Linked DNA regions of Caenorhabditis elegans. Each later gene encodes a partner of the first gene's protein in a complex. Each region holds a gene or a part of one and is shown on either strand. Other genes may lie near its edges. The genes, in order: chch-3 and immt-2.

Region 1 (6,577 bases):
GAGTTATATCAGAAAAATTTAGCTAAACGTTGATAAAATTGTGCTAACCTTTTGTAGATGGATAATGATCAGGTGAGTATCCTGCTCTGAAGTAAACAATTGCTACTTGACGCCCATCAATCATCAAATCGCTTCTATCATTCAATGATAATCTGAAAGTTTTAACATAGAATTCTGTATTCAAATACAAAAACTTACTGTTCATAGCATTGTGTTAAATTTCTTCTAATAATACATGTCATCGGTACTCCTAACTTTTCAAGTTCATATTCCACGTGGCGTTGATCAATCTGATTTTGATTGACGTTTTCTACAACGACAAGAACCACAGCTGCTGGGTTCGAAAAGTGGGACCAGGCCTTGAATAAAGCTTCAGCGATCATTGGAATTGGCTTGTTTTCTGGAATTGCTCTTTGAATGACGTCATCGGAAATGTTCAACGCTTTAAGAACTCTGATATGCCATTCGGTGAGCCGTAGAGCATGTGCTCCCATTGACGAGGCGATATTGTTTATTTCAATTTGTTTCAGTCCATATTCCGCTGAATATTGATCCTTATGACACATATAATCAGATCGTTGAATCGCGAGAGTGACTGGTTGCTTGAGTCCTTGGGCTTTGACTTTCTTCAAGATCTCAACCATATTCCGTGTGAAATCATCAGTTTTCACGACATTTTTATGAATATCGATTAGAAAATCAAATTCATAAGCTATGAAGTGATAAAGACTTGCGAAAAGGTTCTGAATATGAACTGCTTCTTCAAAAACATTTTTCGGGAATGGAGATGGAAGAAGTGTTAATGGAGTAGTTTGACAAACTTCGCTGCTCAACTTGTCGGTTGATAGACGCATGACAAGCCCATTAGCCTGAAAGATGTTTAAAATTCATTGAAATTCGGAAATTAAGAAAAAAACTTACATGAGCCCAATCGTGAAGATCAGCGGTGAGCTCGTTGAGCTTATCATCTTCGAGCGGGAGCCTTGGAGCATTCAACAGCAAAATCCGGTCATCTTTTTGAGCCATTCTTGAAAAATTACGAATTATTTTTTCAGTTTTAAATAAATGCTTTCGAAAAATGCAAAACATGACGCGAGAGTGACAAAAATGAAATTAAGCGAGAATGAAATGAGAAAAGTGAGCACTGAAATCGTGATGACAAAACGTATAACGTGAGGTTTCTATGTTTTGTCATCATTTCTCTTTGAAGGAAGTCGGAGATATTGCTTTTCGAGTGGTAAAAGGAGGTTTGAACGAGTTTATGATAAAATCTTGGATGCTTATTTGTTGTAATTGACATGAATAATAGTTATTACATGAATTTAACAGGAAAATTTGAAAAAAAGAAAGGGATTGGCATGAAATTTGCTCCCGAAAACAAAGAACTCAAAGAGCAAAAATCATTTTGGTGCTAAACGTCACGTTTTGCGTCAAGGAGCTGCTGGCGCACATCTCGTGCACGAGTATTGCGCTAGCTATTTATTTTACGCTAATTTTTTGTTTCTATCAAAATTATTTTTCTACACACAAAACAACAAATAAACAATTCAATTTTTTATATTTAATTTCTCGTGTCTGTTTAAACTTTTATTAATCGATAATTGTCAGATGGGAGCATCCCAGAGTGCAGAACAAGAGGCACGTCCCGAAGTGGTGCGCATTGACCGAAATGAGATTCCCGAGGAGTACAAGTGAGTTTTTTACGTTGGGAATTCTTTTGAAACTAGGAAGTTTTTATTTATTCAACGTTTCAGAACCGTCGGTGTATCATCGGACGTTGTGAGCCGAGTCAATGCGACCAGAGTTGCCGGAAACGACGGAGAAAGTGACCGTCTCAGACAAGAATTGGCTCGAGAGCGTGAAGAAAAAGCTAGATTAAGAGAAGATATGGCTAAGCTCAGTCAGCTGCAACAGAGAAAGGTAAAAATCAAAAAATCTTTCCTGATAGGATTAAACTTAAAAGTTTCAGACCGCTGGAATTTCCGCCGCCCCAGTTTCGATTTCCGGAAATGATTTGGAGGAGAGAAAGAAAATTTTCGATGACACTGTTGAACGCGTTCAGAAGCAATTCTTCGCTTATCACCGTGAAAATGTGTGCCAGGATAATGAAAATGTAATTTTTAATTTGAGAAAGTTTTTGAGAATATCCAACATTTTTCAGGAGATTGTAAGATGTCTTCAAGAAAATCCAGGACGTGTTTTGAAGTGTGCTCCACTTACTGAGGTAAACTTGGGAAATTTTTTAGAATCACGAGCAAAGTAAAAAATTAAAATTTAAAAAAATATAAAAGTTGTGAAAATTGTTTTAAAACAATCACTAACCCACTTGAATTATTTGAAGTCTTGCATAACTCTCAAATTGGGAATAATTTTGAAACTATTTTTTTTGTTTTCATTTCAACTTAGGAAAAACTAAAGTATCTAAATACCAGGAAGGTTTTTTTTTTAATTTTTCAAAAAATTGAAGATTTCCGAAAATGAAAGTTTTGGCAAAATTCCAAAATTTATGAACATTTAGAGTAAATTTTGAAGGCATATCCTTTTCATCCCTCTAAAAAACACAAATACTAGTTCAATAAAACAAACAATTGTTTACATAGTTTGTAGGCTACAATTAATTAAATTGTGATACAAATTATTTTCTTTTTATAATTTCAGGCATTCGAGAAATGTGTCGGCGAGTTCAGGCAACAAGTGCTCAAGGGAAATTAAATTTCTTCATATCGATTTTTAAATACATTGTTTCATATTTCCCCACATTTTTTTGATCGTAGTGTTGTATAGGTGTGTGTGCGTGCCCCGTTTTCTCAAAACTTGTATTTCCCCCTCAGCCTCCCACCCAAAAACTTTTGCTTTTTTATTTCAAATTTTTTTGTTCCACGAACGAAACAATAAACTTCTAGGGAACTTTTAAATCCGTTTTCAAGTTATATATTCCAAAATCAAAACAGGCATTTCGCTCCTGTACCCATCTTTCCCCTTACTTAATTTTCAGATATTTTTCACTATATTTTCAGAATATTTAAAAAATCAGCTACGCGTTGTAGCAAATTTTTTTTGGTACACAAACACAGCTGATAACAACAGGACACACAACGCAGTGGGACTGATGATGGGCGGTTCCGTATTATCACCAGAAAAATGAGGTAAAACGGGTTATTTTTGAATAGATTTCAGATTTGATTCTCGCCAGTACACCTGACTAGGTTCGAATTTATTACTGTGTGGTCTTGTTGACTTTCAAGATTCTAACTTTTTAAAACTATTATATGGACACCTCGTTTACGTAGTCGTCTACAGATAACATGGTCTCGCCACGATCAACGGGTTACTGTAACTCTTGTCGATTTACGGGCCAATATTGCCTTGTCGTTTTAAAATTTGATGAATAACTTGTTAAATACAAATATAATGCAAAAGCGACTCGTAAATTGATAGGAAGTACAGTAACTTGTTGTTGTCCTCGTGGCAAGACCCATGTAGAAGATAACTTCACGCAATGGTCAATAACGCTTTATCTGGAGAGCTAGGGAGCCACCAACCAAATCTCTAGTCGTCTGGTCAATGTTTCCGAACGCACAACACTCACATTTTTCGCGCATTTTTCGTTCTAGTCGCCTCCCATGTCTTCATCTTCGCTTCCATTCTTCTTTCTTTTTTTTTGCTCCGAATGCGTTGTAGAAAAAAGTTTTTTCCAAAGTAGCAAAACGTAGCTCCATTTTTAATTCGAAAAGAACATAAATAGTCAAACTGCTTGCAAAGCAAACAAAAATCGTTTCCAGTGCCTTTTCTTAACTGATAAATATGAAATCGATTTTTTCCTGGAACAAATCAAATTTAACTAGTTCACCAATTTGAGAACAAAAATCATACAAATTTGTGACCGCGGAAGTGACGATAAAGTTCAAACAAACACTTGTTCCTTCCTATCATTGTCACGTGCCACGTGCTCACAGGATCCGGAGCCAACCCCTGAAGCATACCACAAAAGTGCACCTGACGTCTCACGCAGTTTCAGGTTAACTATCAAATTTCAGTCCTTCACTATTTCTCTTTAGAACAATTTTATCGTCCACAAAATCTAAAATCTTAACGCCTCATCCAATTAACTTCAACCTTCAAGATAACTGTAACATTCACACTTGAATCCAATTAAGTGTATCAAATTGTGTAATAACTTATTGCCAAGAAACGAGAATATATTGAGATGTTGGAAGGTTGGACACCTTTATTTACGTGTTACACACCTCCCTCTCAAATTTCCGCTTCATCCTCTTGTCGGAAGAGGTCGATGGAACTGGTTTACGCGTTTTTTATTTGGCGCAGTACAAAAAAAACACCTCTGAAAAATATGAGGTTATTGTCATTGGTTTTGAAGATTATTAGGTCTATATTTAGGTTCTTTATTTTTTTGTTGGAACGACTATTTTATTTTGAAACTTGTGTCTTCAAATGATAGTTAAAAGTTTAACGATGATTTTGAAAACTTTGGAGAATTGCCAAATTGGCCAGTTTTTGATAAATTACAAAATTTTCTTTTGTTTTGTACAGTAAATGGAATAATTTCAAACTAAATACAATTTTGCTTAAATTAATTCGTCTATCAGCATAGTGTTTTGCAGAAAAAAGACTTGTAGCTGGCTCCAACCACAAGATTCAAATAGTGATTCCTCGATCTGCAAAACTAGAGAATAGCCAATATAGTCAAGGTTCACCGCTATCAATTTCGACGACAGAAAAGTATGATGATAAGACTATCGTTGAACTCTTACTACTGCAAAAACCAACACTTGAATCCTGAAACGAATTCCTGTTTCCATCACTTTGTTGTTTTTCTAGCTTATTAGAATACGAAAGTTACATCATTTCCACTCGAGACCCTAATTGACATACCCTTCTGAAAACTAGTGCACTTAGAACATCTTACCTCCCCTTATTGGACGCTCTCGATATTAAAGTACAAGTCATTCTAAAAAGTATGTATTAGAAAATTGTCTAGCTTTAAACGTGCCCCATATTTTGTTAAAATTAATTTCCCGGCATCAATTTTTTGTTTATTTTTTTAATTCTTCCAGATGCAGTCACAGCTTTCTTCAATTGGATTGGCTTATTTCCTATTGGTAGCCAACTTTTACTACCAATCAAATGGTTTCAATGATCACTACACATTCAGCTATTCCTTTTGGTGAGTGTATATAAATTGATAACAGATTGATATAATTTCAAAGGTTCAAAGGTTTTTTTAAAATGTACATTAAAGTTCAATATTTATACTTTCATAATGTACCAAAATGTTTTAGGAAAATAACTCCAATCATTCTACTTGTTGCTTTTGCATACTTAAATGGAGGTGGACTAGGAAAAGAGCAACGCAAAACTGCTGCCGCTGGCTTGTTCTTCGGAGGAGTCGGTGATTGGATTATTGGAATGCGCCATGATGGAATCATTTTGGGAGCTGTCGCTTTTGGAATTGGTCACCTCTTTTACTTGGTGAGTTTGGTCATTGAAGACATAATTTCGAGATGTAACAATCAAATATCATGTACGTGGTACTTTGACACTTAGATATTAACTCGGTCCAGAAGAAAAATTTGGGTAGAAGATTGACAAAAGATAGGCATCTAAACTTGGGCCTGGTCGAAGCCAAGTTTCACCCAAGTGTGGATTAAGTTTATATTCCGAACCAAGATAAGAATTTTCGGACAATGCTAAGCATGTGGTTGTTGCCCAAATACCAAGTTTAATAAAGGAAAAATTCGTAAATATAGATTTCTCCAATATTTTTTTATCAACAGATCAATTTGACAGTAATTCAGAGTTTCAAAAGGTTATTATTACACAAAAAGATTATAAAGAACATTGTTAGTAGTCTTTAAAAAAATAATCGGGGGATATTCAGAGAATCGCTAACTATTTTCTAAAAATTGGAGAAATGTCAAAGAACAGTTTCTGAAATTTTTTACCTATGCTCAGAATTATCAATTATCACAGAGCTTTTCAGAGTCTCTACCGGCAACATGCCACCAAAATTCATACAAAGTTCCTTCTTGGAATGTTGGCATGGGCTTTAGTCATTGGACAACTTTGCTTCATTCCGATGCTTGCTGATCATAGAGGCCCATTGACTGTCTTTGCCAGTTATTCACTTCTTCTATCAACGTGTACGTTGATAGCTGTCTCACAGTATCTCAATGGATCAAAGTCACAGAATGAAGAGGTTTGATTTAACTGCACATTTGATATAATACAATTTTCTATTGCAGGGGCTCCTCTACCGTGCCATTGGCTTCTTCCTCTTCTACATCTCAGACTCGGTGCTCATGCTCTCACACACTGGATATTGGAAGTTGGCTCCATCATTCTGTGTCCTCTCAACCTACTACTCTGCTCAATATTTCATTCTTTTTGGAAATACGATGGCTGTGAACCCTGTGAAAAAATCTGTAAAAATCAACTGATGATCACTAACTTCTGAACCTGTACATATTCTATTTACAGTGTATTTCTCCCTTTTTCCTATTTTTTGAAAATATTTCTTACAATTATGACTAGACTACCTAATGTCAGAAGCTTTAAT
Region 2 (8,707 bases), on another chromosome or scaffold:
CGCCGTGAAGCTCATCGATAAGCTGAAATTCCCGCCGAACAAGGAGGATCTGTTGCGGGCTGAAGTGCAGATCTTGGAGAAGGTCGACCATCCTGGGGTGGTTCACTTCATGCAGATGCTTGAGACGACTGATCGGATCTTTGTTGTGATGGAGAAGCTGAAGGGTGACATGTTGGAGATGATCTTGTCCAGTGAGAAAGGAAGGCTTTCGGAACGGACTACGCAGTTCCTGGTGGCTCAGATCCTTGAAGCTCTCCGTTACCTTCATCATTTGAATATTGTGCATTGTGACTTGAAACCGGAGAATATCCTTCTCAACTCGAACTCGGACTTCCCACAAGTCAAGCTTTGCGATTTCGGATTCGCTCGAATCATTGGAGAGAAGAGCTTCAGGCGGAGTGTCGTCGGAACGCCTGCCTACCTGGCGCCTGAAGTTCTACGGAACAAGGGATTCAATCGATCGCTCGACATGTGGAGTGTCGGTGTGATTGTCTACGTCTCACTGTCGGGAACGTTCCCGTTCAACGAGGACGAGGATATCAACGATCAGATTCAGAACGCCGAATTCATGTACCCGCCGACACCGTGGAAGGAGATCTCTGAGAATGGTAGGGCGAATACTTTTGTTAGAAAAGAATCTGTGAGATTTATTGAATTCTTTTGCAGCTATCGAATTCATCAACGGACTGCTCCAAGTTAAGATGAGCAAGCGGTATACGGTGACGAAAGCGCAGTCGCAGATCTGGATGCAGGTAGGCATATGGAGACCTTTTTTGGGTCTCGCAGCGAAAATTTTTTCGAGCTGAAAAAGTTAAAAAAAGAAAATTAAAGATTTTTTCTGTGAATTGAAAGCTGAACTTTTTTTTACTTTCTACTGTAAAAATTGTGAAAAAAAATTCTAAAATATTTTTTTAACGAAAATTTAAAATTTTCAAAATTTGGGGAAAAAACACAAAAATCAGGAAAAAATACGAAAATCTCTTTTTTTTTAATTTGAAAAAATCCGAAACATCGGCTTTAAAAAATTTCGAATTTAGAAAAAATGTTTGAAATTTTTTTTTAATAGCAAAAAAAAGTTTTACCTGCAAAAAATCGGGAAAAAAATCCGAAAAACTTAGAAAAAAATTGTATTTTTTTAATTTGCAATCATTTTAAAATCATATGAAATTTAGAAAAATCCAAAAAAAGTAAAGAAAAATTGCAAAAAAAAATAATTTTAATCCAAAAATCCGAAAAAAAATTTACTTACAGAAAAATCGGTTTAAACATTTTTTTAAGGATAAATAAAAATTGTTTTAAGCGCAAAAATCCTTTGAAAAAAAATAATACAAATTGCAAAAAATGCATTTTTTTTTTGTTGGTTTTTCAATAAAAAATAATTTCGAAAATTAATTTTTTTACGAAAAAATTGAAAAACTTTTTTTTTCAGAACTACACCCTATGGTCGGATCTACGAGTACTGGAAAAAGCTGTCGGTCAACGATTCGTAACTCATGAAAGTGATGATGTGAGGTGGCAGGCTTACGAAAAAGAGCACAATGTGACTCCGGTCTACGTATAATATCCAGCAGCAGGACCCCCAGAGAAACTTTTCATATTTTTTGCATCTTCTTGTCACATATCCATTTAAATTTTATTTCGTTTTTTCTTGTTTCATAATTTTTTTTCCAAATTTTCTCACTCACATTCCCTGTGTTCCCACACCCATTTCTTAAAACATTCCTAGTCGAAAAATCCTCCTAATTTTTACGTTTTTCCCCGTTTTTCACCAAAAAATCGGAATCCAACCCCCACCCAGCGCACACAAAATTTGCCATATGATCCTCGAAAATTTCCCGATTTTTTTCCAAATTTGTCCAATTTTTACCAAAATTTGTTCTTTTCTATTCACTTTTCACCGCAAAAAATGTTTGAAATTTCATCAGATTTTCTTGTCTAATGATACGCCCGAAGATTTATTTATATATGTGTATGTTTTGATTGAATTATTACTTTTTCTTTATTGAATGAATTGGTGTAACTGAAAATATATTTTATATTTTTTTGCAAACAAACAATGACAATTTGATCGAAACAAATGAGGAAACAAATTTTTTTATTTTTTCTTCCAAAATTGTTCCATCAGAAAAGCTAGATTTTCCAATAATTTAGACACAAGTTGTTAGGGCTAGATTGTTTTGTTCTGGAAGTTCAAATTTCTGAGAAAAATCATTTTCCAAGTTTCAACTATAGAAATCGCACCTAAAAAATTGTTTTTGAATTATTGGAAAATCTAGCTGTCCTGTTGAAGCAAATTTGCATTTTTTGGAAAATACTTAAGACAAACATTTATTTCAGCTAGATTGTTTTGTTCTGGAAGTTCAAATTTCTGAGAAAAATCATTTTCCAAGTTTCAACTATAGAAATCGCACCTAAAAAATTGTTTTTGAATTATTGGAAAATCTAGCTGTCCTGTTGAAGCAAATTTGCATTTTTTGGAAAATACTTAAGACAAACATTTATTTCAGCTAGATTGTTTTGTTCTGGAAGTTCAAATTTTCGAATTAGAAATCGAACCTAAAAAATTGTTTTTGAAATATTGGAAAATCTCGCTGTTAGAACGCCAGATTAAACTAAAAAGTTAGAACGCCAGATTAAATTATGCAGCAACCACCATGAAGTCGCTGCCGATGAGCTTTTGTGCGCGCTTGGGTGCCGATTTGAAATCAATTAGCTGAGAGGAAACCATTTTTCCAATGAAGACTCTTCTGCTTCGCTGAAATTTGCCAAAAAATGTCAAAAAATCTATCGAGTTCACAATCCAGGACTACGGTAGACTTTGAAATCTGCATTCTGACGTGACCGTGTACACGAAAGTACGTGACACGTCAAACAGATTTAAAAATCTTTTTTATATAATTTTTCCAATTTTTCAATCATTTCGAGCGGTTTTGAGTGTTATTCTTCAGATTTTTAATTCAAAAGTCATGCGTGGAAGTCGTAATTTATTGGTATGTTCATATTTATTAAATATTAATCAAATTCGGGAACTTTCAGACTCAGCGACTGGCTTCTTCTCGAGCAACTGGTTCTTCGGGAGGTCTCAAGTTTGTCGGAGCCACTGTTGGAGCGGTAACTGCTGGTGCAGCAGGAGTTGCTGGATACGCTTCTTATGATAATGAGTTCAGAAAGAAGGTTTTAAAATTTAAAATTAAAAAAAAACAAAAAAAAAATCAAATTCCAGCTAGAAGGCGTGATTCCCGGTTCTCGAACTATTTTGAATTACACGATCGGAGAAGAAGAACCGCCGGCGCCTCGTCTTAAAGATCTTCGACCTCTGCAATATTCCGCAGATCCGAAAGTTCCACCAAAGCCATTTGAGCCGAAGCCCGTGAAAAAAGAGCTGATCGGAGTTAAGGAGAACCTGAAAGAGACTACTGAACCAAAGAAAATCGAGAAAAAGCCCGAAAATCCATACATCGGCGCGAAGACTCCACTGAATCCCCAGGAAAGGAACGAAAAGCTCACGGAATCCCTGAAAAACCACCTAACTCAAGCCGAAAAAGCCACGAAAGTTGCGACTAGCGCCAAATTGGAAACGATTCGAGCTATTGAGCATCACGTTCAGACAATTCGTGAGGCTATTGAAGCTGGAAAAGACGGAGATTGGGATTCAGTGACTGTTGCTCATCTGAAGGCAAAACGGCTCGCTGAAAAGGATGAAAAAGCCGAGAAATTGGCTAGAAATGCCGTCGCTGACCTTGTCACGGAGGCAAACCTCGGCGGTCAAGGTGAGACTACTCAGCTGAATCCACTGGTTCCAATCTCAAAAGCAACTGCTGAAAAGCTCTCAAACGAGCTGGATGAGATGATTTCAAACGTGAAACATGTCGATTCGGAGCGTATTTTCGTGCATGACTACAGTGATCGTGTAGCGGAGAGCCGCAGGAAATTCCAAATGGAACTGAAAGCAGTTCATCCGAATTTGAATTATGAAGATGGAATGAAGATCAAAAAAGCGGATTTGCACACGATTTTGGCTCATGCTCACTTGAGAATTGATCAGCTCAGCCAGAAATTGATTGATAGCAAGGCAAATATTCATTTTTTTGGCATAGTTGTAAAGAAAATTGCGTTTAAATCTCAATTTCTCCTCTAAAGTCGATTTTTCGAATTTTTCCTGTGAATTAATGCATTTTTTCCTGAAAATTTTGAAAAAAGAACGAAAAAAAATTGAAAATTATGTGTGTCGATTTACGCAGCTCGTGTACTCCCCGAGGAGAAGTTTTATTACAGTTTTTCAGCTGAAATGCTTGATTTTGGACTATTTTCACCTAAATTTAATAGCCAAATCGCAAATTTATCACATTTTACTATTCCACTAGAAAAAAGAAAAATTCCAGTTTTCAAATAGTTAAACCGCAAAATGTGGTTTTTATGTATCTCTAAAAAATAAAAAGCGATAGTTATGTGAAAATTGTCGGTTTGGCTTTTGAAAACAGGCAAGAATGGTCTAAAATCGCGAATTTCAGCTGAAAACTTTAAAAAAAACTTCTCCACGGGGAGTACACGATTGGCGTAAATCTACACGAGACGCTGGAAGAGTTTTACACGGTCATTCTGCAATTCTGGCATTTTTTCCGATTTTCCGGAAAATATAAAATTTTTTATAGAAAATTAACAATTAAATTCAATTTAAAAAAACATGATTTTCTTAATTCAAAAATTAAAGCCTTTTTTTGAAAATCTGTTTTTTTCAGATTTCAATGAAAAATGTTAATTTTCCCGATTTTTCAACAAATTTCCTCAAAAAGAAACCAAATTTTAAATGTTTCAGCTCCGAATTCCCGTTTTTTATCGATTTTTTTCCAGCTAAACGAGGAAAAACGCATCCAATCGATCATTGCAAAGAAGAAGGAAGATCTTCTCGAAAAGCTTCGTCTCGAGACCAATGCCAAACAGGCCGCAGTGATCCCAGAGTTCGATAAGAAGAAGCTCGACGCGGAGCTCGCTCGTGCCACTGCTGAAATTCAGAAAAAATACGACGAAAAGCTGAAAGAAGTCGTTCGAACTCAGAAGCAGCTGTACGATATTGAGCACGCGAAGGATGTAGATGAAGCTGTTCTGAAGGAGAGAAATGTATAAAATTAACGATTTTTCCGGATTTTATTTGTTTAAAAATTGAAAAAAATTTCAGCTCCACTCGTCGGCGGTCGGAAAAGCGTTGGCTCAGCTGGCTGGAATTGAAAAAGCGCTTTCTGGACATCTTCAAATGGATATTGAGAATAGAAAGTACTGGATTTAATGTCGATTTACGCGGGCTCTTGTACTACACGACGAGAATTTTAAAGTTTTTTTTCTGAAAATCTCAATTTTGGAGTACTTTTCCTGCTCTTTACCCTTTAAAATGACCAAAATATCCTATTTTTGGCTGAAATTTTTGGTATTTGGCAATTTTTGCTTGATTTTAGCATTCCAAATAGTCAAAATATCGATTTTCATTTAAAACTCGATGAATTATTGATATTTTGACTTTTTTTTTAGTTAAATTCAAGCGTAAACAGTCCAAAATCGACAATTTCAATCAAAATCCGCCAACTTGTGCGAAAATGTTTTGAATCAAAATCTGAAAAAAATCCCACCATTTTTCCAGATCGAAACAAATGTGGCTAGCCACCCAAAATCTGAAGGGAACTGTAATTTTCGGAAATCGAGCCAGCTGCTGCATGGAGGGAAGACGTGCTCCACTGGGAGATCAAATGAAGACACTTCTCTCGTGCTGTGGTGGTGGAAACTCTGATGAATTCGTGAAAACCATCAATACGGCAATGTCGAAAACCTCAAAAGTCCGCGGGGAGTACACGGAGCAGGATCTGAACACACGCTTCAACAAAGTCTGCCGAATCGGACGTCGTGTTGCCTATGTCAATGAAGGTGGAGCTCTGGCTCATCTCTACTCGTGGCTCAAGTCTTCCCTGACTATTGAGCTCGTCCCGAAGAAGGGTGCTAATGAGAGGTAGTAGTGTCTGAAATGATATCTATCTGTAAAAAAACTATAATTTCAGCCTGACCCCAGCTGTCGAGAACAACTTCACCTTGCTCACACGTGCCGAGCAACTCTGGAAGTCTGGCAAAAAGTCCGACGCGATTCGTGTTCTTCAGCTGACCGACGGGGCCACCCGTAGAGTTGCTGCCGATTTCATCGCTGATGCTCGCCGCCAACACGAGGCACTTCTTCTTTCACGTCTTCTGCTCGCCCACGCGGCTCTCACCTCCATTCGTTCCACTTATTAATAATTATTGAATATGCCAAGTAGTACGTCGTCTGTTGTCTGTCTGAGAATTATGTGTTCTCTCAAAATAATAAAATTATTATTATTTTTTACTTTTAAACAATTTATCAATCAACAAAAACAACAAATTTTACAGCAGTTAAATCAAAAATTATAAATTATCCAGACGACGTCGCTGCTACTGGCTCAGGAGTGACTTCTGCTGGAGCCTCGGCTTCCTTCGGAGCATCTTGAGCCTCTGGAGCAACACCATCCTGCTCCTTGGCCGCCTTGCTCGCACAAGCCGCCGCCATCGTCACAAAAGTCTTCTTCTCGGGCTCCTCAGCTTCCGCATTAGCCGTGAAGTCGTGATGAACAAGATCCGCAAGCCATTTGAGCATTCCCTGAGTGAGCAGCTCCGTCTCGATCATATCCTTGGTGATGAGCTCGAACTTGGTCCGCTCGATTTCTTTTTCGATGATCTCTCCCCAATCGGTCAGTGGTTCGTGGGATTTTGAATTCTTTCGATCGTAGGAATCGTAATGAGTCCGCTCGAGGAGGAGACCCAGTCCTGGAGCCATTGGGATATCCATCTGAAATTTTTTATTTTTTTAAGTTTAAAAGTTTTCGGCTAAAATGCTAGATTTTTGCACTTTTTAATCTCTTTTTCATTTGGATTTCGTTAGAAATTAATTATTTTCGTCTAAAAAAGGTGTTAAACTCGTGAAAAAGCGGCAAAATTGCGCGAAAACTGTTAAATTTTGCGGAAAATAATTCGAAATTGTCCACGAGGAGTACACGCTTGCGTAAATCTACACAATTCTTAAAGGGACATGTACCTCGTGCGCGTGATCTCGCAACGATGCGCGTTTGCCGCTTCAAAATAGGGTTTTTAAAATATTTTTTGGTGAAAAAGATTTAAAAAAACACAAATAATGTTATATTTTCACACTTTCGACGCGAAAATATCGAAAAAATGTTTAAAAATTGTGTTTTTTCGACTGTTTGAAGTTGAAAAAACACCGAAAAAACAGGAAAAAAACACGAACTCGCTGTCCCTCGAATGATCTTTGAATCGACGACTTTAAATGCAGTTCCCGAATGACTGTAATCACCATTCCGACCATTTTTCGAATCTGATGAAGTACAAATGATTGTCCTTTAATCACAATTTGCACGAATTCCACGTCTTCTTTACGAAAATCGTCACGAAAAAGGAATGGTTCTTTGCATTCGAATGAGATAATGTATCGATTGGAGCTCATATCATCGTAGGCTCTTTTAGCGGTATAATTGAAGAAATTGTGGGTTCCGAGGTAGATTGAGAGAATACTGTTCACCTCTGCCAAGGTTTCCGGGGAAAGTCGGAAAGAGGAGTTGGTGAGCTGGAAAATCAAGAATTTTTAGAGATTCTCACGGAATATCAGCGGGAAATTCGATTTTTCGATCAATTTTTGCCCGAAAATACAGGTTTCCAGTCTTTTTTCGCCTGAAAACTTGATTTTTCAGTCTATTTCCGCAGAAAATTCACATTTTCAGCGTGAAACTAAAATTTTCGGTCAAACTTTGCCGGGAAATTCAATTTTTCAGCTAATTTTCGGCGAAAAATCCAAATTTAGCCTCTTCTATACCTCCGTAGGCTTTGCAAACACAAAAGATGGACACGTGTAGCTATAGGTTCGATGATCACACTGCTTCTGTGGATGGAAGAAATTCGTGGTCCGACGCATTCCAAAAACACGAATATCGGCTGGAAGAATGTTGTTAAGAATTCCAGCTCCCTCAGCTTGATACTTGGCGTCATCTCTGGGTAGTTGCATTCCGCACATCTGGAAAAATGATATAAAATTCGCTATTTTTTCCTTTTTTCAATGAAGTTTTTCGGCTTTTCAGTGAAAAAAACACTGATAACAGCAGCAAATTAGTAAACTCCAACCTGTCTAGCAGCTGATACTGCCCTATCAGTTCTCGCCGCTCTTTGAAAAAAGAAATCAAATGGTTTTTCTTTTTGAGCGGTCGTGATCCAACCGGCCGTCTCCATTGCCTCAAGAAGCTTTGATTCAATTGTGGGCAGGTCTTTTTGAAGCTAAAAATTAATTAAAATTTATCAATTTTGACCTTTTTTTTATCTTATCAGACCTGCATGCCGTAGTATTTTTTGCCTTGATAGCCTAAAAGCATCGCATATTTTGCCTGCTTTACTCTTGGCTTTTTAGGTTCCTTGTGCACACCACCCGATTGAACATGGTTGAGCTTGTCGACGGTTTGCTCCTCAACGGTTTTTGTCATGATTCGGGTGAGCCTTTGGAGCAGTTGTTTGAGCATAAAATAGGGCGAATGCCGGCTGAAAGAATTAAATTTTTGATTTTAACAAAAGAAAATAGCGAAAAAGATCACAAAGTATCAAAATAAGACGAGAAACTTAAAAAGAAAAAACGCAAATATTAAATACAAAA

The links.
Region 2: chch-3 (region 1) and immt-2 share a complex: the UniProt entries of both Caenorhabditis elegans proteins name them as parts of the mitochondrial contact site and cristae organizing system (MICOS) complex.

What each region holds. Positions count from the first base shown.
Region 1 is NC_003280.10:9,415,405-9,421,981, forward strand, and holds chch-3 (MICOS complex subunit MIC19), read left to right. Parts: upstream 1-1,608; coding exon 1,609-1,691; intron 1,692-1,754; coding exon 1,755-1,920; intron 1,921-1,969; coding exon 1,970-2,113; intron 2,114-2,161; coding exon 2,162-2,224; intron 2,225-2,514; exon of another isoform or gene 2,515-2,603; intron 2,604-2,658; coding exon 2,659-2,712; 3' UTR 2,713-2,912; downstream 2,913-6,577. Other genes in the region: gss-1 (Glutathione synthetase), read right to left, coding at 49-152, 199-869, 922-1,026; M176.4 (lysoplasmalogenase), read left to right, coding at 5,076-5,185, 5,301-5,490, 6,002-6,217, 6,264-6,458. UniProt on the Caenorhabditis elegans protein: Plays a role in maintaining mitochondrial morphology. May act as a component of the MICOS complex, a large protein complex of the mitochondria.
Region 2 is NC_003283.11:16,786,413-16,795,119, forward strand, and holds immt-2 (MICOS complex subunit MIC60-2), read left to right. Parts: upstream 1-2,854; 5' UTR 2,855-2,966; coding exon 2,967-2,990; intron 2,991-3,036; coding exon 3,037-3,174; intron 3,175-3,223; coding exon 3,224-4,072; intron 4,073-4,851; coding exon 4,852-5,118; intron 5,119-5,176; coding exon 5,177-5,271; intron 5,272-5,632; coding exon 5,633-5,995; intron 5,996-6,044; coding exon 6,045-6,273; 3' UTR 6,274-6,361; downstream 6,362-8,707. Other genes in the region: Serine/threonine-protein kinase dkf-2, read left to right, coding at 1-608, 667-752, 1,430-1,561; pus-1 (Pseudouridylate synthase 1 homolog), read right to left, coding at 6,431-6,844, 7,301-7,636, 7,883-8,080, 8,188-8,337, 8,391-8,540; ctps-1 (CTP synthase), read left to right, coding at 8,496-8,547. UniProt on the Caenorhabditis elegans protein: Sustains mitochondrial morphology probably through maintaining cristae morphology. May act as a component of the MICOS complex, a large protein complex of the mitochondria.